Linked DNA regions of Callithrix jacchus. The protein of the gene in region 3 purifies or fractionates together with the protein of the main gene of each other region. This does not show direct contact. Links are inferred from orthologs where the notes say so. Each region holds a gene or a part of one and is shown on either strand. Other genes may lie near its edges.

Region 1 (4,658 bases), on a different chromosome or scaffold from region 3:
TCGGCTAACGTATTCTACGCCATGGATGGAGCTTCACACGATTTTCTCCTGCGGCAGCGGCGAAGGTCCTCTACTGCTACACCTGGCATCGCCACTGGCCCATCTGCCTCAGGGACTCCTCCAAGTGAGGGAGGAGGGGGCTCCTTTCCCAGGATCAAGGCCACAGGGAGGAAGATTGCACGGGCACTGTTCTGAGGAGGAAGCCTCATTGGCTTACAGAAGTCATGGTGTTCATACCAGATGTGGGTAGCCATCCTGAATGGTAGCTGTTATTTCACAATGAGACAGAAATTCAGAAAGGGGGCCAGCCACCCTGGGGCAGTGAAGTGCCACTGGTTTACCAGACAGCTGCGAAATCCAGCCCTGTGGGAACTGGTAATCTAACCAACTTGGATACCTGTGTATAGCTTCCCACCTTCCACCAGTGCAGCACACAGGTAGTGTTGGAAAACAGCATCAGTTTCTGATTCTTGGCCATATCCTAACATGTGAAGGGCCAAGCAAAGGCCTCAAGGCTCTGAGCCCCAGGGCAGACGGGGATGGCAAAAAGTAGGTCCTTGCAGGAGTTCCTTTTCCCACTCGGGTTTCTATCACTGTGACAACACTAAGATAATAAACCAAAACACTACCTGAATTCTACTCCCCTGTACTTGCAGTGTGTTTGAACTGGCTGCTATGAGTGGGGTGGGAACTGGCTGAAGGTAGTTGCCATTGAGCAGGAAGGGGCACAGTGTTTTCTATCCCCATGAACGGAGCAAAAAGTGAGTTACTTGGTGAACAGTTTCCTCAAACAATGCTGCAAATGTGTATAAAACAATTTTTGGACAAAGAAATGGCTGAACAACCTTATGGACAACATATAAACTTAGGAGGACTTATAACACCATAAAGCATTACATGCTAGGCTTTTAAGTCAGTTTAAGCTATATTCAAGCAAATTCTAGGAAGACAGGCTGAAAAGTACTAATAGAGATGTCAGGACTGCTGGCAAGGAGGGTAATCACATTTCACCTTGGGGCCTCATGTTAGAGAACTGTATTCTTCAATTAAACTGACATTCCTCACATTCACAAATGTAAATGCCCTTCTAAAAGAATCATGCCAACCAAGATGAGGGAGAGTTAAAAGAAGGTTTGAGGACATTTGGGATTTCACTTTCAAGAAAGAAAACACTGTGCCACAGAGAGATTTCAAGTGCAAGAGTTTGGACCTGAGGGAGTAATATAGGTGGTGTGTGTTAAGGTGGAAGGGGCTGTGGAGATATGCCTGATCAGGAAACAGAGGCAGGTGTTTTTGCATTTTATTAGCTACAGTATAGATCCCAGAGCTGCCTCATTCCCGCCCCTCCCCTTCCCCCACCATGGGGTCAGGCCTTGCCAGGAGCCCCTGCCTTTGCTGCCTGGGCCCGCTGGAACTCCTGCTGCAGCTGAGCAAGGGTCTCTCTCTGTTGCTCTGACTGCCGCTCAAGATCCCGGAGCTGGGATTCGTATCGCTTACTGAGGAAAGACAAGCAGAAAAGGAGAAATTAGTGGGACTTACTATGGAGGGTGCTAAACTCAAGAAAGAGACTTCTCTTTCTTGAGATCTAGGGAAGGGTGCAGAAGGGGTGTTGGAAGGGGTCTGGAGGAACTGGACTAGGGGCGACTATGGAGAGCTGTTCTGCAATGGTTCCTCAACTCCTCTACTCCAATGGTTCAGTTAGACTCACATTTCAGCTGTGATATAGTCCAGCCTCTTCCCCACTGTGGCCCGAGCCTCTCCCAGCTCCTGTTTGACCAGCACCGGACCCAGAAGTTTAAAGACCACGTTGGACCCATCCAACAGGGCCAGTTCCTGATGGAGGGATGGGACATATGTAATCAGAACCATGGCCAGTACAGGCCCCTCCTCGCCGCACAAATCCCAGTCCCTCACCTCTTTCACGATGTTATTTTCTGTTAGTTGTGCTTCAAGTTTCTGCCTCCCCGACATGGATTTACTCAAGTCTGGGGATGAGAGGAAAGGCAAGATTAGAAACATCAAATGTGCCACCAATCCCCACAATCCTAGTCAGGAGGAAATGGATCTGAGGAAGTAAACAAGGATGGGGGCAGCGGGTCAGTGAATAGGGACGAGTACTGACGCGGGAAAGTCTCCGCACGCGACGGCCCAGATGGGGCAACAGACCTTATCCTAGTATGGTTTTGGGTTGTGAGTGCATCGGGCGAGGCCACACTGACCCTGCTCCCTTACCCTTCTGTAGCTGTTGATATTTCTCCACTTCTCCTTGCAGCTTCTTTTGAATCAGCTCCGCCATGGCGGGGATGAAAGCTTAAGGGGAGCGAGAGAAGGGCGCTGGATCTTACTCTCTGGAAGGTACCTGAGTTCCCCTTTCTGATCTGGCCTGCGGAAATGATGGCACTCTTAAGAGGCAGCCCTGAGGGGGACCGCAAACTCCCCACGTCCCGGATATCGACTCCACCCTGTTCCCAGGAGATGATGGGCGAAACGCGAAACCCCGAACCCCTCAACCGAAATCCTAACCTACTCACGTTCTCCCTTTAGTAGTAATAAACCCGGAAGTAAACAAAGAATGCTGGGAAAAGACTGTGTCGGGAAGTTTCTTTCTGATCCTTGATGGGAAGTGTAGTTCTGACATGTTTAGTGAGTGGCGTTCTGCTAAAAAGACTAGACTCGGACATTTTTAGGCAAGACGGGGAAACTAATCCAGAAAAAGAAATCGCACCGCTACTTAGTCCCTGGTCCTGGACCTGCCCTTTTTTTTTTAAAGTCTCTCTTGTATAAGCTGTCGCTCGCGATAAGGTGCCAAGAGCTGTTCCGCCTCTCTAAAGAGAGCGTGCCCTCACTCAAGATGGCGTTAAGAGAGCTTCAGATTTGGTACGCTGCTGATTGGATGACGGACAGAGGGCTTCCGGAAGTTTTCAAGGCGACTGTAGGGCAGCTGAGAGGAGTTTTGCACGTGGATCGCCGTACGGGTGGGCGAGATGGAGACGGCCCCCAAGCCGGGCAGGGATGTCCCGCCCAAGAAGGACAAACTGCAGACCAAGAAAAAGGTAGAGGCCTCTCTGGGTGGGAAAATAAGTTTTTAGTTGCGGAGTCGGGGGGCGTGGCGTAGGTGCGGAGTTATTAGGGCTACTGATCTGCCCGTAGAAACCTCGGCGATACTGGGAGGAAGAGACTGTTCCGACCGCAGCCGGAGCCTCTCCAGGGCCTCCTCCTAACAAGAAGAATCGGGAGCTCCGTCCCCAGGGAGCAAAAAGTACTCACATCTTAAAGAAGTCTCGGATCTCTAAGAAGCCTCAGGTCCAGAAGAAACCCCGAGAATGGAAGAATTCGGAGTCCCAGCGGAGCTTGTCCGGGGTGAGCGTGGGACCTAATGGGTGGCGAGGCAGGTCGAGAGTGAAGGGGTTGGGGTCAATTTAAGGCTGCCTGCTAATTGCGTCCTTCCTTCCCCTAGGCCCAGGACCCATTCCCAGGCCCCGCCCCCGTCCCTGTGGAGGTGGTCCAGAAGTTCTGTCGCATTGACAAATCCCGAAAGGTGAGGTCCAGCTGGAGAGTTGGGAAGTGTTGGAGGCCGGGAGTGTCTGAGTGAGTTGGATGGAGGCTGAGCCAGGTAGCCCTCCTGTGACCCCACTTACTCTGTGGTTCTTCTACCACTCCTGTCTACCAACAATGTTAAAGCTACCACAGTCTAAAGCCAAAGCTCGAAGCCGACTTGAGGTGGCGGAAGCTGAGGAAGAGGAAACAAGTATCAAAGCTGCTCGTTCTGAGCTGCTGCTTGCTGAGGAACCTGGGTGAGTGGGCCCTAATCTGGGCCACCCCATTCCCTGCTTTATAGGACTCTCTCGTTTTTATGTTGGTACACTTGTTTCATATTGGGAAACTTTACTGCCATCCTAACCCTTGCTTTCAGGTTTCTGGAAGGGGAGGATGGGGAAGACACAGCAAAAATATGCCAGGCTGACATTGTGGAGGCTGTGGACATTGCAAGTGCAGCCAAGGTGAGCGAGGAGTTAAAGGAGCCAAAGGGTTGATGGGTGGTGCAGGACAAGAGAAGAATGGGGGCTAGAAGAAGCGTTACTGCAGAGAACTCATTCTTTCTTTTTTTTCTTCACTCTTTCCCAGCACTTTGACTTGAATCTGCGGCAGTTTGGACCCTACAGACTAAACTACTCTCGGACTGGGAGGTAACATTGAATCTAGTGACTCCTGAACTAAAATGTGTTTCCTTAACCACTTCAGCCATGCCCATTTCAGCCATTCCCACTGTATGTTTGGGTTGTTGATGAGGCGAGAGTCCTGCGATTTGCTTGCTTGTGAGGGTGAGCCCCTACAGCAACATCTATTTGCCCACCTGGAGAGGGAGAGGCAGGGCTGGCATGGGGCAGACCCCTCAAGTTGTCTCAGTTGGTGCTCCACTGCCTTAACACCCTGCCTGCCCCTCACCTCCAACAGACACCTGGCTTTTGGAGGGCGTCGGGGTCATGTGGCTGCCCTTGATTGGGTAACAAAGAAGCTTATGTGCGAGATCAACGTCATGGAGGCAGTGCGGGACATCCGGTCAGTGGCCTCACTGTCAGCAGTCAGTAGGGGTGAGATAGTCCATCCCTGATAGAATGATAGCCTGTGACCTCGTTTCCCAATGGAACCACTCTTTC
Region 2 (5,707 bases), on a different chromosome or scaffold from region 3:
AGGCCTTAGCAGTAGCCTGAGCTGCCCCCAGGGCTGTGAGCTGCTGAATCTTCTGGCTCATCATTTCCATGACAGCTGTAGAAAAAAAGATGAGTCAGATCTTGGTGACAAGCAAAAAGGAGAATCTAGAGTTAAGAAGTGACAGGCAAGTTTAAGGACAGGAGAACAACTAACTGCAGTTTATTAATAGAACTTTTTTTTTTTTTTTTTTGAGATGGAATCTCACTGTTGTCACCCAGGCTGGAGTGCAGTGGCATGATCTTGGCTCACTGCAACCTCTGCCTCCCAGGTTCAAGCAATTCTCCTGCCTCATCCTCCCAAACACCTGGGATTACAGGCATGTACCACCACGCCCAGCTAATTTTTGATTTTTAGTAGAGACCAAGTTTCACCATGGTGGCCAAACTGGTCTTGAACTCCTGACCTCAGGTGATCCACCCGCACTGGCCTCCCAAAGTACTGGGATTACAGGCATAGGCCACCGCACCCGGCATTAATAAAACTCAGTGATCCACTGTGAGGTCACTAACACAAATTTAGGGTCTATGGTGAGAACAAGACTCCGTCTTGAAAAAAAAGATGCTAACCGCAGATATAAAAACAAACACTAAATGAGTCACACATAATCAGAAGACTATAATGTGGAAAGATTTTTACCTTTCACACATAATCAGAAGACTATAATGTGGAAAGATTTTTACCTTTAGAACACTGGTTCTGAATTCTGATTTTAACAGAGGGGAGCTTTTTTGGGGGGAGACAGAGTCTCACTTCGTTGCCAGGCTGGAGTGCAATGGGGTGATCTCGGCTCACTGCAATCTACACCTTCCTGGTTCAAGCCATTCTCCTGCCTCAGCCTCCTGAGCAGGTGGGATTACAGGCATTCGCCACCACGCTCAGCTAATTTTTGTATTTTTAGTAGAGACAGGGTTTCACCATGTTGGCCAGGATAGTCTCAATCTGCTGACCTCATGATCCAACTGCCTCGGCCTCCCAAAGTACTGAAATTACAGGTGTGTGCCATGTGCCTGGCCGAGGGGAGCTTTTAAAAAAAAAAAAAAAAACTGACCTTGGTATAACTTCGCCTCCCTTGACTTCCAGGTTTAGTTGATCTGGAATTAACCCACGTTTTCTTTCTAAACTTCCTGAGTGAATCTAATGTGCAGCCGGGGTTGTAATTGCTGGTAATTAGTTCGTTTGGGTCATGATTCCTTCCTGTGTGTTTATCTCATCCCCCATTCTATCCTCATTAAATAGGAGCTCCACCAAAGCACACATATTTCTTTCCTCTCAATTTCTCAAACGCTCAACCCAGAAATCTACAAATAGTGATTATGCAGTACGCAGATTCTAAAGATGCCAAAGAGCAACTAAGACATAGTTTTAATCCAGCAAAGGGGACACCCCTGTGCTTCACACTCCAATCCACATTCTTTACCATGGAGATAGAGACGGTCAAGAGGTGCCCCAGGAAAAGCTTACCCTGTTTCATGGCGTGCTTCTCCTGGAGAGCTGGTTGGATTTTCTCCATCTGCTTGGTTAGAAAATCTATCTTCCTCTTGAAAAAGTCCTTGGCATCCTCAGCTGTCTGCAAGATCAGAGGTGAACGAGGGGCTAAAAGGAGATACCCTCTGGCCATGTTGCACTCTAGCTCTTCCCTAAATTTCCCTTCCCTGTTCAGAGGGGCATCCACATGCTCTCACTCACCTTCTCTACATAGTACCCAGTTCCCACATCGATGAGCACGTGCTCCACATCATGCAGCTTCCCAGGGACATACATCTGAGGAGCAAGTATTAAGGGAAAAACTAGCCCAGCATGAGCTGTGATTCTGCAACCCAGCCTGCTTGGCCTCTAAAGACCCTCGTTTTCCAAAAAGCTACAAGGCATAAGGACTGAATAATCTGGAGGCCTTAGAACAATATCTATAACTCCAAATGGAAAGAAGACAGAAGTTGGTTCTTTATGGAGAAAATGATGTATGCTGGAACACTCTCTTGTCCTGCCTCATCCCATCTCTCACCCTCTAAACAGTTCTTGCAGTTCTTCCCATTAGCCCCTCCAGAAAGACTAGATATGTTTTCCTACTGTTGTAGAGTACAAGTGGAAAGCTAGCCTCACTTCCCTTAACCCCCTCAATCATGAAGTAGCTAATTCTTGATGAATTTTTATTTTATTTTTATTTTTGAGGTGAAGTCCTGCTCTTGTTGCCCAGGCTGGGGTGTAATGGCACACTCTCAGCTCACTGCAACCTCCACCTCCCAGGTTCAAGAGATTCTCCGACCTCAGCCTCCTAAGTGAGATTACAGGCATGTGCCACCATGCCTGGCTAATTTTGTATTTTTAGTAGAGATGGGGTTTTCCCATGTTGGTCAGGCTCATCTTGAACTCCTGACCTCAGGTGATCTGCCCGCCTCAGCCTCCCAAAGTGCTTGGATTACAGCTGTGAGCCATAGCACCCAGCCATTTTTTTTTTTTTTAACGATTCCCTACTATACTATTCCTGTGTTCTTTTTAGCCTGTCAGTTCTCAGACTACAAAGGTGCCGTATTGCCATAACTCGCTCATTCAAGTAAGACATTCAGCAAGTGGACACAATCCAGGTTCCTTAGTGACAGTTTAGGAATGAGCCACAATTAAGCTGAAATTGAAGATTAACAGTCAACATACCTGTTTCTATATCCTCCTATTTTGTCTATTGCCTGTGTCTTCTAAGTTATTAGCAAAATGTAAACCACCAGCTTTATCTCCATATTAATGTTCTCAAACAGCAAAGGGAAATATTACATCTCAACTCGACATACTCCTTGGTATTCACAAGGCATTAGCTGGATGTTGGTGTGAAGTTAGATATAAGAGCTACATAGTGTGTAGTAAGAGTATTCTCAAAAACGTTGCGGGGGAGGGGAATCTGAAGTAATCAAAACGACCCTTCTCCCCGCTTTTTGGGGGAGAGTGAGGGAGAAAGGGAGAAGGCAGCAGGTAGCCGTTCCTGTGGAAAGGATACAGAACTCGTCAGTGGGACGAGTAATTCTTTCCCTGTGAAAGCAATGAAGACAAACACCTGGGGAAGGTTAGCGGCTCCAACGTAAGACATTAAAGAGAGTTCCAACAGGGGACAGCACCCACAGACAGTGTGAAAAGAACGGAAACAGGGGCAACAGGAGCAGAGGTATGTCCTGTACATTTCAATTTTAGGTAGGCAACATGCAAAGGGTTCATGAAGCGGCATACGAGATGTAATGGATTTTCTCGTTTCAGTTAAGAAAAACTGGATTAGGAAGTGGGACGAGAGAAGCTGGCTCGCCACTTTAGGTTGCCCTCACCCGCCTACCCCATACCCTCGTTGCTCTTGTTCAGCACGTTCAGACAGTCCTTGGCTTCCACATACTTGGTCTGTACCACTTTGAGCTGGGCAATGGACGTGGACAAGAACTCCACTTCCTACAGAGGACGGGAATAGAGTCAATGAAAGGGCTGCGGGGAGAAGGGAGCCCGGCCAGGGAGGGGGCGGATCCTGGGATCGGATAGAGGTTTCGCCTGGGAAAGGCAGGCTCCCAACTTGGAACGGGGAGCGAGGAAGTACGCATGGGCAGGGGGGATGTAGAGCAGGAAAGAGGCGCTTCTGGGGCTCGTCCCACCTGGTCCAGCTGGTTTTTGAGCATTTCTAGCTGCGGCAGATTCAGCTCCGTGATGTTAATCGACTGCGCCATGTTGGGAAGGAGGACTAACGAAAAGGAAGTCCCTTGGCGAGCAACGCTCTAGCAGTCCTCTGCGCGTCTCTATGGCGCCAGGAGGCCTAGCTGCGCCAGGCTGCTCTATGATTCTCCGTCCCGGAAGGGAAGGGGGGGCTTGAACCGGTCAGAGGCTGAGCTGTGCTTTGGTTTCATAAAACATTCTAACCCTAGCACGGTAAAGTTGCGGCAAACAGGACTCCAGCCCACAAGGAACTTCAAAATCTTAAAGTCCTCACGACACAACCACGATGTTATAAAGTAGTGTATGCTACTCCACATGGGTGGTATAAGCTACTGACAGGTCTTCAGTTCTTTGGTCCGAAGTAGCATCTTGAAAATGGTGCTTTGAGCAGATGAAGTGGAAGGGAGTCTGGAGATGGAGCGAACAGCAAGGAGGCACCATTGTCAACCAAGTACAGCACAAATTAATCAAAATGTTTTGGCCGGGCACTGTGGCTCACGCCTGCAATCCCACCACTTTGGGAGGCTGAAGAGAGCGGATCGCTTGAGCCAAGGAGCTTGAGACCAGCCTGGGAAACACGGCGACACCCCGTTTCTACTAAAAATACAAAAATTAGCCTGGCTGGTGGTGTACGCCTGTAGCCTCAGCTACTTGGAAGCCTGAGGTGGGAGGATCGCTTAAGCTGGAGAGTTTGAGGCTGCAGTGGGCCGTGATTGTGCACTCCAACAGAGCCAGACTGTCTTCGAAAAAATAAAAAAGGTTCTACCATGTGCTATATGGCAGGGATACGTGAGAGTGTAAGATACTTGCTTCCCTTGAGGTTAACAATTGGAGAGAAAAACTTCACGATTATAACTCCACAGATCCACAGAATCTACTGCTAAAGTATACACATTGGTAAGTGTGACAGCTGTACATGAGCAGACAGCAGTAGCCTTTAACATCTACTTAGGAGTCAGGCAGGGCAACTGAGGCATTAAAACTAGTGCTACTCCCAGGGTACCTGAGGCAGGAAGACAGGATGGACGGGTGGTACCTGCCCCATAACACTCTCAACGGGTCAATGATTACCCTTCCTTGGGCTTATCTCTACTTAGCATTTTGATGCCCCTTTCTCCTCCAGATTGTCTGCTGAGGCCCAGCCAGGCCCGGTAGGCTTTGTCCTGTCTTTGCCTTTCTTCCCCAGGCTCTCAAACTTGATCTCCTGTGAGCTGTTCCCATCAGTTTACAGTACCACAGCAGGAAGGGGGCAGTTATGCAGTATCTGTTTTTTTTTTTAAGACAAGTCTCATTCTGTCGCCCAGGCTGGAGTGCAATGACACAATCTCAGCTCACTGTAACCTCTGCCTCCTGGGTTCAAGCGATTCTCCTGCCTCAGCCTCCCGAGTAGCTGGGACTACAGTGTGCGCCACCACACCTGGCTAATTTTTTTCCTTCCTCAAGTTGGAGAAATCATCATTTTAAATTTTGTGTTATTTCAAATCACAAACACTTGTTAAACATTAAGCTTCGGGGGAAGGAGCACCACCAAATCCAAGATGGCGGCCAGCAGGAGGCTGATGAAGGAGCTTGAAGAAATCCGCAAATGTGGAATGAAAAACTTCCGTAACATCCAGGTTGATGAAGCTAATTTATTGACTTGGCAAGGGCTTATTGTTCCTGACAACCCTCCGTATGATAAGGGGGCCTTCAGAATCGAAATCAACTTTCCAGCAGAGTACCCATTCAAACCACCGAAGATCACATTTAAAACAAAGATCTATCACCCGAACATCGATGAAAAGGGGCAGGTCTGTCTCCCAGTAATTAGTGCTGAAAACTGGAAGCCAGCAACCAAAACCGACCAAGTAATCCAGTCCCTCATAGCACTGGTGAATGACCCCCAGCCCGAGCACCCACTTCGTGCTGACCTAGCTGAAGAATACTCTAAGGACCGTAAAAAATTCTGTAAGAATGCTGAAGAGTTTACAAAGAAATATGGGGAAAAGCGACCTGTGGACTAAAATCT
Region 3 (5,780 bases):
GGAACTTTAGTTCTTTATCATAAGTAACTTTAATTATGGCTTCTAAGATCTTTATATCATTCTTCTTTTTTTTTTTTTTAAGACAGAGTCTTACACTGTTGCTCAGGCCTGGAGTGCAATGGCACAATCTCGGCTCACTGCAACCTCCGTTTCCTGGGTTCATGCGATTCTCCTGCCTCAGCCTCCCGAGTAGCTGGAATTACAGGTTCACACCACCATGCCCAGCTATTTTTTTGTATTTTTAGTAGAGACAGGGTTTCACGATGTTGGCCAGGCTGGTCTCGAACTCCTGACCTTGTGATCCGCCCACCTCGGCCTCCAAAATGCTGGGATTACAGGCATGAGCCACCGTGCCCAGCCCACATCATTATTCGTATCCATATTTATTAGCTACCAGAGAATATCTTAGCTGAAACAATGAAGAAAAAGGAAGAGAAACACAGCAAGGGAGTGAACTATGAAGCCATCAAACTAGAGACAGTAAATGAAATTGCAAAGGTAAGGCTGAGAGTTAATGGCTGAGTTCTGTATGTAAAAGAGAGATGTCACCTTCCTAGAAGGGTCACTGCAGGGAAGAGAAAGAAGCCTGAGTTTTAGCACATGATACATATTATTAGGTGCTGAAGTTTAGCATGAATTAACTACAGCAGCATAGGCTAAGAGATGGGGTGCCTGGTTTGAATCCTAGGTTTACCACTTACTAGATGAGTTGACCTTAGGAAAGTTAGTTAACCTCTCTTTGCCTCAATTTCCTCATCATCTGTACAAGTACTTTTCATCACCCGGGATTAAATGAGTGAGCATATAGGAGATGCTTCTAAGAGTATGTGACACCTATCTATAGCATAAAGTGCCATTGGGACACAAAGTGCTAGGGATTTCGTTTTGGGGTAGAGGTCAGAAAAAACTACAGGGAGTTGATATCTGAACTACAAGTGGAAAGATGAAGAGGTCATGAAACGGACAACGGTGAAAGAACAATTCAAGCAGAGAAAGAAAACAAATTACTGCCTCAGGGGGGTTGGGGAAAGAACCAGGTCTGACTTCTAACAACTATGGTATATTGACTCCTAGCATCATGGGCAATCATACCTATTCAACATCTACTACACTGCAATACTCAAGCATGTTGTTCTCTGTTTCCCATAACAACTGTCTAAGTATTGTCATCCCTATTTAGGTTAAAGAAACTCAGGCTCAAAGTGGTAAAATAATATGCTTAAGGCTAAGCAGCAACTGGGACGCAGAGCCAGGATTCAAATCCTGGTCGATTTAGAAGCCAATGATCTTTCAACAATACCATGTCACTTCAATTATTAACAGTTTGGGAACAAAAACAATTATATAAAATTGGGTTGCTTATTACATTATGTCAATAGAAATTTTAAGGTCTACAAAAAAATAGCCATGACATTGTAGGGAAAAAGCATTTTAAGATGTTATAAAGCCCTCAGATAAAGTGTATACTGTGGAGACAGATTTCTCTAGCTTAGCACTACGAATGTAACATTTAAGTCAGTACGGAAATTCAATTAGACACATAGGAGTTTATACTATGTGTCAGGCACTATTCTAGGGCCAGGAGAAATGACATAATGCATGAGAACTACCTCACCTCCTCACAGCAGCAGAGCATGAGGGGTAAGCTGGCGGTGTGGACCCCCACAGATTGCCGAAGTTCAAATCCTGGATACCTCATTTACATCCTGTGTGGCCTGGGGCAAGTTACTCAAGGGCCGTGTACCTCGGTTTTAACATCTAAAAACAGACCTAACAGTAGCTAATACCTAGAGTTTAGTAAAATCATTAAGAAAGTGCCCAGCACTCAACAAATTTTATTCCTTGTTATGATTAGATAATAGATTAATGTAAAGAAATAAATGGCACAGCTCATGAAAACACAAAATAATAAACAATTACAAAATGTAATCAGCAAATGCAAATAGACAATATCAAGTGTGGTGTAAATAAATTAGAGTTTTGAAGGACATAAGACATGATCAGTAAAAAGGCAGAGGTAAGGAAAGGTATAAATCAAAAGGTTCAGAAACTTTCAGAAACTAAATGGGGACAGACAGATGAGCTGGCCTGGAGGGCCAGTCAGACATTTTCTCTCATTACTCAAATAGTCTTCAAATACTATTTCTAAATAAAATAAAATTTTTAAAAAGGCACTCAGAACAGGGAGCGCCCTCCAGAACAACCTCTGGAGCGACCCGATCCCCTCTCGGATGCCAGTGAATCTGGGACCCAGCGCCAACACGAGGGTTCGGCCTCTTCTCTCAACAATTCATTCTCCACTAAGTTGTTAGAATGATGCACCTGAAACCAAAGGCCTTTTACAGTAGGCAATGGCAGTGCATTGCCAGCACTTTGGGAGGCCGAGGCGGGTGGACCACAAGGTCAAGAGATCGAGACCATCCTGGTCAATGAGGTGAAACCCCGTCTCTACTAAAAATACAAAAAATGAGCTGGGCACGGTGGCACGCGCCTGTAATCCCAGCTACTCCGGAGGCTGAGGCAGGAGAATTGCCTGAACCCAGGAGGCGGAGGTTGCGGTGAGCCGAGATCGCGCCATTGCACTCCAGCCTGGGTGACGAGAGCGAAATTCCGTCTCAAAAAAAAAAACAAAAAAAAAACCTCATTCCTTACGAAGCCATAGAAGGGGTTTACACTCTCACCCCATCATCCTACTTCTTCTACTTCCCCCAAGGCAACAGACCACGGCATTCCTTCAACAGACACGGTGATATTCCCTTTTTCTTTTTTTTTTTTTTTTTTTTTTTTGAGACGGAGTTTTGTTCTCGTTACCCAGGCTGGAGTGCAATGGCGCAATCATCTCGGCTCACCGCAACCTCCGCCTCCTGGGTTCAGGCAATTCTCCTGCCTCAGCCTCCCGAGTAGCTGGGATTAAAGGCGCGCGCCACCGTGCCCAGCTAATTTTTTGTATTTCCAGTAGACACGGGGTTTCACCTCGTTGACCAGGATGGTCTCGATCTCTTGACCTTGTGATCCACCCGCCTCGGCCTCCCAAAGTAATGGGATTACAGGCGTGAGCCACCGCGCCCGGCCCTCCCTGTTTTCACATCTTGGCACTAGCTGTTCTGCCTATTCATTGTACTGTCTCTCCAGCAACTAGGCGGAGTCGAGAGCTCCTCACCATTTCCCCTTTTCCAAGCAGCAGGGGGGCTCGAAAACCAGCCGCAGCCGGCAGGTCCCTAAGGCCGCCCCGCCGCCCCTCACCCTCGCCCAGGCCCCGCACCCCGTTCTCTTCTAGGACCTTCTCGAGCTACGTGTCTTCCGGGCGGGCCGCAGCAGAGCTCAATCTTTCCATGTGCAAAGAAGAGTGAGAGCGGGCCGAGCACCCGGTCCCTGAACCTTTAGCTCAGCTCCTTCCAACAGTAGAGGCCTAGGTGTGAGCCGGAAACAAAGGGGCAGTCCGCAGTCTCGAACCAAGATGCCAGGGAACAGCGTGCTTCTTACCACAAACACGGCCTCGGGAATCCCCAGGTGGAGCCGCCGCCCATTCCCTGTTGCCATTTCTCCTTTGCCGCTACCGTCTTTCGCGGCCGCCATCTTGGGGATGCGAGTGCTCGACTGCCTTCCGAGCCACCGCCCACCAGGATTTCGTGATTGGCTCGTTCGCACCTACAGGCCCGCCTCTCCGTACACATTCATTGGTGCGCAGGAAAGGTCCCCCCACCAAGTTCCGGTTCTCCTTTGGTCGAAATAGGTGCTGATTGGCTGCGCTCAGGTAAGTGACAAGCGTGGAAGGGCCGCAGAAGACAAGCTGGAGCGGCAGGAAAAACCCTTACGTCCTCTTGGGAAAAGGAGTCTTGTGAGTGAGCTGTGCTAAAGCCCTAGGAATGGGGACCTAGCCTGACCCCACCCCGACCCTAGAACTCGCAGCAGCCTTGACAATGGCCTCTGGAGCGACCGAATTCGCTCTCGGATGCGAGCGAACCTCAGACCTATCGCCATCACAAGCGTTCAGCCTCTGTGCCTTTCTGGTCTCACCATCCCAAGGAGCTTCCTGCCTCTTTTTTTTGAAACGTATTTTCGCTCTCGTTACCCAGGCTGGAGTGCAATGGCGCGATCTCGGCTCACCGCAACCTCCGCCTCCTGGGTTCAGGCAATTCTCCTGCCTCAGCCACCCGAGTAGCTGGGATTACAGGCACGCGCCACGGCGCCCAGCTATTTTTTTGTATTTTTGGTAGAGATGGATTTTCACTATATTGGCCAGGCTGATCTCGAACTCCTGACCTCAGGTGATCCACCTGCCTCGGCCTCCCAAAATGCTGGGATTACAGGCTTGAGCCACCGCGCCCGGCCATTGAAGGGAACTTACTTTGTGTCTGTTTCAGACTGGAGTCACGGGCCTCATTCTAATAAATACCCTGCCTGTCGCACCAACCTTTCCCGAAAGCCACCTTTGATCAGAATGTCTTCTCTCCAGCTGAAACGTTTCCAGAACCTCATAGTCCACATACAAAATCCTAAGAACTCCACCCAGGCTTCTAGGCCCATGGACTTACCCAATGTCATCCTATGCTACAATCCTGTAAAAGCATATCTGTCGTATAGAACCAAGTAATTACTCTTCAGGCCCTTTTCTGTCCTTTCTTCCACTGGAGTGTTTCCCAGTGAAGCAGTGCTTCATCCACTCACACAAATTCCACCATAAGCATAAGAATTATGCAATGGAAAGCCTTATACATAGAAAGAAACAACCAGTATTAGCCTTTCTAAAAATATACCAAAAAGTAAAGAGCATCAACATAAAGAAGAATTTACATCAACGAATGGATAAAATAGCCGGTTAACATCAAATGGCAGTAACCCTAAATTTAAGTCTACTAAATCCCCCAATCAAAACATACAAGCAAAACCTAACGATATGCTGCATCCAGACCCATTTCACATCCAAAGATACACAAAGACTTAAAACAAAGGGATGGAGAAAGATCTACCAACCAAATGAAGGGCAAAAATAAATAATTAAAAAGCAGGAGTTGCAATTCTCGCATCTGATAAAATAGATTTCAAAGCAACAAAGATATAGTGGTAAAAGGATCAATGCAACAATAAGAGCTAACGATCCTAACCCCCAGATACATAAGACTCATAAAGAGATTTAGACTTAACGAGACAGAAAATTCATAAGGATATCCAGGACTTGAACTCAGATCTGGAACAAGTAAACCCAATAAATATTTATAGAGCTCTCCATTTTAAATACATAAAATATACATTCTCCACCTTAAATGCACAAACTATTGATTGGCCATTATTAATAGCCATTTTTAGAATAAACCTATATTCCCGTTCTCTCTCCCTCTTTTTCTTCCTCTTTCTTCCTCTCCTTCACTTTTTTTTTCTTTCTTTCTAAAAAAAAAAAGTAAAAGAAATAAAAAGATGATACACAATGAAAGAAAAAGAATTATGCAATGGAAAGTAAGTCTCTCTTCTCAGAGGCAATTACTGTTACCGGTTTATCTCCATAGATAATGTATGATCAAACACATAGACATAGATATGTCTTTATATATAATGAGGAACAAATTGGTATCATCATATTGTGAATGAGGAAACTAAAGCTCAATGAACCTGTACAGCTTCTCCAAATTCCTACAACTACGTGGCAATGAAGCCGGAACTCCAAACTAGTTCTCCAGTGCCTTCTATGCTATTTGGCTTGGGAAGATGAAGACATATTAGCTAACCATGACACTGACCTTTTCTGGTCAGTGGGTTTCTGAACTGATGTCTCTGTTCCTGCA
Region 4 (5,706 bases), on a different chromosome or scaffold from region 3:
CTCAGTCTCCCCAAATGCTGTGATTACAGGCTTCAGCCACTGTGCCCGGCCTAACTCAAGTTTTAGGATGAACAAATTCTATTTAATTCAGAGAAAAGCACTCCCAAAATAACTCTATTAAGGACATACTTTACTTACATTCTTCCTACACCTTCATACATGTTAGTCTCATCTACCAAAGTCATGATCTCTGTATCTGTAAGATGTGCATGCTTTTTCGTTCTGTTTAGCTGTTCAATCTGTATGTCTGCCAGCTTCACCTTCTGTTGAGTGTCGATAACTTTGGCTTGAAGCTCTGTGAAGGCCTAATAAAAACAAGTCCATGTCTTAATAGGTAAAACATTTTACAGAAAACATTTATGTCAAATCCAAATATATTAGAACAAAACATGCTAGCCAGAGACAAAGCTGTGGAATTTACCAAAGCAAACATCAATAAAAGTCAACATAATTGTAAATAATCAAGACACTATACTAGATACTCAATTTACAATCATCAGAAGATACATCAGCGTGATGCAAAACAATGCACGTTAAACAATAACCATATTAAGTGGCAAGTACTTGGTCAGGTGTAGTAACTCACACCTGTAATCCAGCACTTTAGGAGGCTGAGGCAGGCAGATCACAAGTTCAGAAGATCAAGACCATCCTGGCCAACATGGTGAAAACCCGTCTCTACTAAAATACAAAAAATTAGCTGGGCATGATGGTGCGCACCTATAGTCCCAGCTACTCGGGAGGCTGAGGCAGAGGAAATCGTTTGAACCCAGGAGGCAGAGACTGCAGTGAGCCGAGACTGCGCCACTGCACTCCAGCCGGGGTAACAGAGCAAGATTCCATCTCAAAAAAAAACAAAGGTCAAGTACTCAAGGATTAATAAAAGAAATAAATGCAACAGTCAAGGATGAAATCCAGAAATTTAAAACAAGAACCATAAAAGTAACAACTCACATTTGTATTGCACAATTAGGTTCAAAGCACTTTCTCACATTAGTTTGAAATATTACATGGGAATATGAATATAAGAATATTAATGAGGAAATATAATGATAAATCTCATTTATGCTTCTCAATAATCCCGTGAGTTAGCGTTGGCAGTTTCATCATCCACAATTTACAAATTAAGTAATTAGGCTGGGTGTGGTGGCTCACGCCTGTAATCCCAACACTTTGGGAGGCTGAGGTGGGCAGATCACAATGTCAGGAGTTTAAGACCTGTCTGGCCAGTATGGTGAAACCCCGTCTCTACTAAAAATACAAATATTAGCTGGGCATGGTGACGGGCACGGTGACGGGCACCTGCAGTCGCAGCTATACGGGAGGCTGAGGCAGGAGAATCACCTGAACCCAGGAGGCGGAGGTTGCAGTGAGCTGAGATCGTGCCACTGCCCTCTAGCCCGGGTGACGAGCAAGACTCCTTGAATAATAAAAAAAAAAAATTACATAACTAAATGAGCTAAGAGATAAAAGTGGCTTGCACAAGCCACTTTTGGGGAAAAGGCAGGTATTTAAATCCATTCCTTCTAACCTCTTAGTTCAGGAACCTTTCCATTCTACTGTCTATAGTAATATTCAAAATATAAATATTTTTAAGAGGAAGATCAAAAAGAGAGTGAGAAAAAATGCAAAGCACTGACAAAAGAATTGCATCATGATCTTCATCCACACATATCAGGCCAACTCTGACCCTTATGTACTGGAGATAAACAGTTCTTGGATATTCTTGTTGAAGTGCCCGGAATGACTTTCACATGCTGTCAAATTTGTACCTTAATAATAACAGTTGTGACTGCAATGCACAGCAAAAGCTACTACATAATTTTTATTCTGACCCTGTTTTCACCTACTAGTAAGGTTTAGAAAGATTTATTTTGGGGGACAGAAGGGGCCTGAAATTTCCTATTTGTCTCCACCCAAGAAAAGGACCCTGTAACAACATTAGAAGATAAAACCTTTAGGCTGGGCACAGTGGCTCACATCTGTAATCTCAGCACTCTAGGAGGCCAAGGTGGGCAGATCACCTGAGGTCGGGAGTTCAAGACCAGCCTGACCATCATGGAAAAATCCCATCTCTACTAAAAATATAAAATTAGCTAGGTGTGATGGTGCATGCCTGTAATCCCAGCAACTCGGGAGGCTGAGGCAGAAGCACCTCTTGAACCCAGAAGGTGGAGGTTGCAGTGACCTGAGATCATACCATTGCACTCCAGCCTGGGCAACAAGAGCAAAACTCTGTTTCAAAAAAAAAAAAAAAGAAGATAAAATATTTAAACAAGTTTTTAATTGGTTGTCAAAATTATTCAGTTTAGGACTGTAATCATTTCCTTAGTTTGCATTCACTGTCCACATGTTTCAAATGCAGCAACAAATTCAAAAGTACCAGGAGGCAAGTCCATTCACTAAACCCTGATTTAAATCTGTATTTTTAATAGAAAAAAAGGTAAATTTTTAGAATGCACAATTTTGTTTTGAATGTAAAATTCCGGTATTGTCTGATTGCTCTGTACAGATTGCTAAAGAAGCTAGTAAATGCTAAAGATTAGGGAACACCTAAGGGCTAGATTTACAAGACTGAAGGCAGGAATAACAAAAAGCAAGACACAAACACATAATATCCTCAGAACAGTAGTAAAAGCTTCATCTGTTAGGAGCAACAGTTATTTCGGCTGTCCTATTTCTTTTGCACAGGTTGATCAGAGGCAGTCTTAACTAAGATGTTGCTCATCTGAAGAACCCAAAATAATGGTCAAAAAAGTAGGAGGTAAGACAAAATACCGGATTCTAGTCCCAACCTCTGACATACTTTTCTAGAAAAGTAGATTTAAAATAGATAAATCCTAGGGTCCTTTCCAATCCACCCCACTGTACACAGCATACTGGTTTGGGGTCATCAGCAGTGTTAGAATACTGATCATTCTTAGCAAAAATCTAAGCAAAAACACATTTATAAGCAACTGTTTGAGGAAAGCGGGAAACCTAATTCCTTCTGATACCAGTTTTATTTGGAACACTTTACTTTTTTTTTTGACAAGTCCTTCAAAAGAAGGAGGAGGGGGTCAAAATCCTGAAATGAGCATTGCTGCTAGAATCCCTGATTTTTCAAACTGTTCAGACTGCAAGCTTTCAAAGTATAGAACCGAATACATGGCCTAAAAACAAAGGTTGGACTTGGAGTTTTTCAAAGCAAATAAGGCAGTTATGGATGCCACAGCTCAGGCAAGGGGTCCGAAGGGACCCCCATTTGAAATGCTCTCTATAGTTGCTACTATGAAAGTGAGTCCCTGAAGGCTCCAAACTCAACGACATGTCTCTGGAGCTCAGAAAGACTGGGCAGGCCCGAAATAGGCTCACAGACTTATCCCACCCAAACCAACCGGCTTCTACCCAGCAAGAGCCGCTCGCCCCCACCCCAGTTTAAGGAGACCCATTGGGGCTTAGGACTCTGGGAAACCATTCCCTAATCCACTGAACCCTCCTTCCTTCTGCAAGGCTTGGGCCTCACTCGAAATTCCTACCTACAGTCCCCTCAACCTCCTAAGAGAAGGTTTCCGCTTGCCCAAGACCCTCTTTTACCTTCTTCAACTCAAGATCCACGGGGGCGGCCATCTTGGTGCACTCTAGGCGCCTGCGCAGTGGGAGTTGGCCCGAAAGAGAGTGGGGGAAGGGCGCGCCTTAGTTTGAGCGTCCGTCTTCTGCGCCTGCGCATGAGTTGAACTAACCCAGCTTCTTCCCATTCTCTGTGAATTGACCCCTGAGATATTTGGGTTTCGGATTCAGTGTCTTCCCTATCTGACCGGTCAGGACTGACTTTCTCCTCCACATCTTCCAGACATAGCCCAACGCGCAGATTTCTTAGGTGGCTTTAAGCAATTTGCCAGCTAGCTTAGTGTGTGCTGCTAAATTGAAATGTTTGTAGATGTAAAACCCTCATCAGCCAGCCGATCCGTCCTTCAGCTATTCACTGTGCTGTCAGGAATGAGTAAGTCCTGAACCTCAGGCATAACAGTTTGGGAAAGACTAGTGGAAAGCTTATCTACAGTGTTCTTCCCAAGACGAACTTATTTCTTCCAAAAGCCTCCCGAAGACCTTCTAGACACGGTGATTCTCAAGAGAGGCTGAATACGTTTGGGTTTGTTTTTGTTTTTGTTTTTTTAAAAAAACAAACAGCTTCTTTGGGTCTCATCTCAAACGTGCTTAGAATCTTTGAGAATGGGGTCTAGAAATTTGCACTTCTGCAAACTCATCCAGTGACCTAATGGTGTAACTCCTCTGTGCATCACGTTTTTGAGAATGTCTGTCATAAAAGGACCTGGCATTTGAACCAGAAGGATAGATAATAATTGACTTTTGGAAATGGAGAAAAAAAAATATGTTTACCTGCTCTAAAAACTGTTATGCTAAGAGAAAGTGCTACATGAATATTTAGGACATTTATTTTCATTTATTTATTTTATTTTATTTTTAGATGGAATCTCAATCTGTCGCCCAGGCTGAAGTGCAGTGGTGCGATGATGGCTCACTGCAACCTCCGCCTGCCCGGTTCAAGTAACTCTCCTACTTCAGCCTCCCGAGAAGCTGGGATTACAGGTGCGCTCCACCACGCCCAGCTAATTCTTGTAATTTTAGTAGAGGCCAGGTTTCATCATGTTGGTCAGGCTGGTCTCAAATTCCTGACCTCGTAATCCTCCCACCTCGGCCTCCCAAAGTGCTAGAATTACAGGCGTGAGCCACCACACCCAGTTGGAAATTTATTTTATTTAATTAAAAAAAAAGGGAAGGAAGGAAGGAAGGGAGGGAGGGAGAGAGGGAAGGAAGAAAGAAAGAAAGAGAAAGGAAAGAAAGAAAGAAAGAAAGAAAGAAAGAAAGAAAGAAAGAAAGAAAGAGAGAGAGAGAGAAGAAAGAAGGAAAGCTGTTAGGGAGATAGAAGCACAGAGAATTTGGAACCAGCCAGATCTAAATTCAAGAGTTGCTCTACCTTTAATCTATGTCTGGTTCCTAATTATGTGACTTTGAGCAAGTCACTTGGATTTTTTGTTTTTTTGGTTTTTCTGTAGGTATATGTTTTCTTTTCTTTTCTCCCTCCCTTCTTTCTTTCTTCTTTCTTTTTCTTTTTTTTTTTTTTTTTTTTTTTTTGAGATAGGATCTCACTCTGCCACCCAGGCTAGAATCTAATGGTGCGATCACAGCTCACTGCAGCCTCTACCTCCCATGCTCAAGTGATCCTCTCACCTCAGCCTCACAAGTAGCTGGGACTGCAGGTGTGCACCACCCACACCCAGCTGATTTTTGTATTTTTTGTAGAGATAGGTTTTCACCCTGTTGCCCAAGCTGGTCTCAAACTCCTGAGCTCAAACAATCCGCTAGCCTTGGCCGCCCAAAGTGCTGTGATAGCAGGCTTGAGCCACAGCGCCCAGACAATTTATTTTTGGCATACAGTCTCCCTCTGTCGCCCAGGATGGAGTGCAGTGGCACTATCTCTGCTTGCTGCAATCTCGGCCTCCCCAGTTCAAGTGATTCTCCTGCCTCAGCCTCCCAAGTAGCTGGGATTTATAGGCACCTGCCATTACGCCTGGCTAATTTTTGTAGTTTTAGTAGAGATGGGTTTCACCATGTTGCCCAGGTGGTCTCCAACTCCCGGCCTCAAGTGATCCACCTGCCTTGGCCTCCCAAAGTGCTGGGATTACAGGTGGGAGCCACCATACC

What was found.
Region 1: the proteins of VBP1 (region 3) and PFDN6 purify together in Homo sapiens (affinity purification with mass spectrometry; 6 studies listed by BioGRID and IntAct, counting the BioPlex papers as one, with this or other methods). This does not show direct contact. The link is inferred for Callithrix jacchus from reciprocal best matches to the Homo sapiens genes VBP1 and PFDN6.
Region 2: the proteins of VBP1 (region 3) and PFDN5 purify together in Homo sapiens (affinity purification with mass spectrometry; 7 studies listed by BioGRID and IntAct, counting the BioPlex papers as one, with this or other methods). This does not show direct contact. The link is inferred for Callithrix jacchus from reciprocal best matches to the Homo sapiens genes VBP1 and PFDN5.
Region 4: the proteins of VBP1 (region 3) and PFDN1 purify together in Homo sapiens (affinity purification with mass spectrometry; 4 studies listed by BioGRID and IntAct, counting the BioPlex papers as one, with this or other methods). This does not show direct contact. The link is inferred for Callithrix jacchus from reciprocal best matches to the Homo sapiens genes VBP1 and PFDN1.

What each region holds. Positions count from the first base shown.
Region 1 is NC_133505.1:41,530,460-41,535,117, reverse strand, and holds PFDN6 (prefoldin subunit 6), read right to left. Parts: upstream 2,568-4,658; 5' UTR 2,532-2,567; exon of another isoform or gene 2,524-2,531; intron 2,384-2,523; 5' UTR 2,297-2,383; coding exon 2,233-2,296; intron 1,986-2,232; coding exon 1,915-1,985; intron 1,834-1,914; coding exon 1,709-1,833; intron 1,497-1,708; coding exon 1,367-1,496; 3' UTR 1,284-1,366; downstream 1-1,283. Other genes in the region: RGL2 (ral guanine nucleotide dissociation stimulator-like 2), read left to right, coding at 1-195; WDR46 (WD repeat-containing protein 46), read left to right, coding at 2,985-3,053, 3,151-3,360, 3,458-3,538, 3,682-3,794, 3,914-4,001, 4,126-4,187, 4,456-4,560. UniProt on the Homo sapiens protein: Binds specifically to cytosolic chaperonin (c-CPN) and transfers target proteins to it. Binds to nascent polypeptide chain and promotes folding in an environment in which there are many competing pathways for nonnative proteins.
Region 2 is NC_133510.1:66,255,720-66,261,426, forward strand, and holds the start of PFDN5 (prefoldin subunit 5), read right to left. Parts: upstream 3,739-5,707; 5' UTR 3,714-3,738; coding exon 3,642-3,713; intron 3,445-3,641; coding exon 3,342-3,444; intron 3,040-3,341; coding exon 3,008-3,039; intron 1,783-3,007; coding exon 1,708-1,782; intron 1,589-1,707; coding exon 1,483-1,588; intron 76-1,482; coding exon 1-75. Other genes in the region: ubiquitin-conjugating enzyme E2 L3, read left to right, coding at 5,238-5,702. UniProt on the Homo sapiens protein: Binds specifically to cytosolic chaperonin (c-CPN) and transfers target proteins to it. Binds to nascent polypeptide chain and promotes folding in an environment in which there are many competing pathways for nonnative proteins.
Region 3 is NC_133524.1:150,955,400-150,961,179, reverse strand, and holds the start of VBP1 (prefoldin subunit 3), read right to left. Parts: upstream 3,600-5,780; 5' UTR 3,577-3,599; coding exon 3,484-3,576; intron 1-3,483. UniProt on the Homo sapiens protein: Binds specifically to cytosolic chaperonin (c-CPN) and transfers target proteins to it. Binds to nascent polypeptide chain and promotes folding in an environment in which there are many competing pathways for nonnative proteins.
Region 4 is NC_133503.1:38,674,593-38,680,298, forward strand, and holds the start of PFDN1 (prefoldin subunit 1), read right to left. Parts: upstream 3,638-5,706; 5' UTR 3,610-3,637; coding exon 3,577-3,609; intron 306-3,576; coding exon 139-305; intron 1-138. UniProt on the Homo sapiens protein: Binds specifically to cytosolic chaperonin (c-CPN) and transfers target proteins to it. Binds to nascent polypeptide chain and promotes folding in an environment in which there are many competing pathways for nonnative proteins.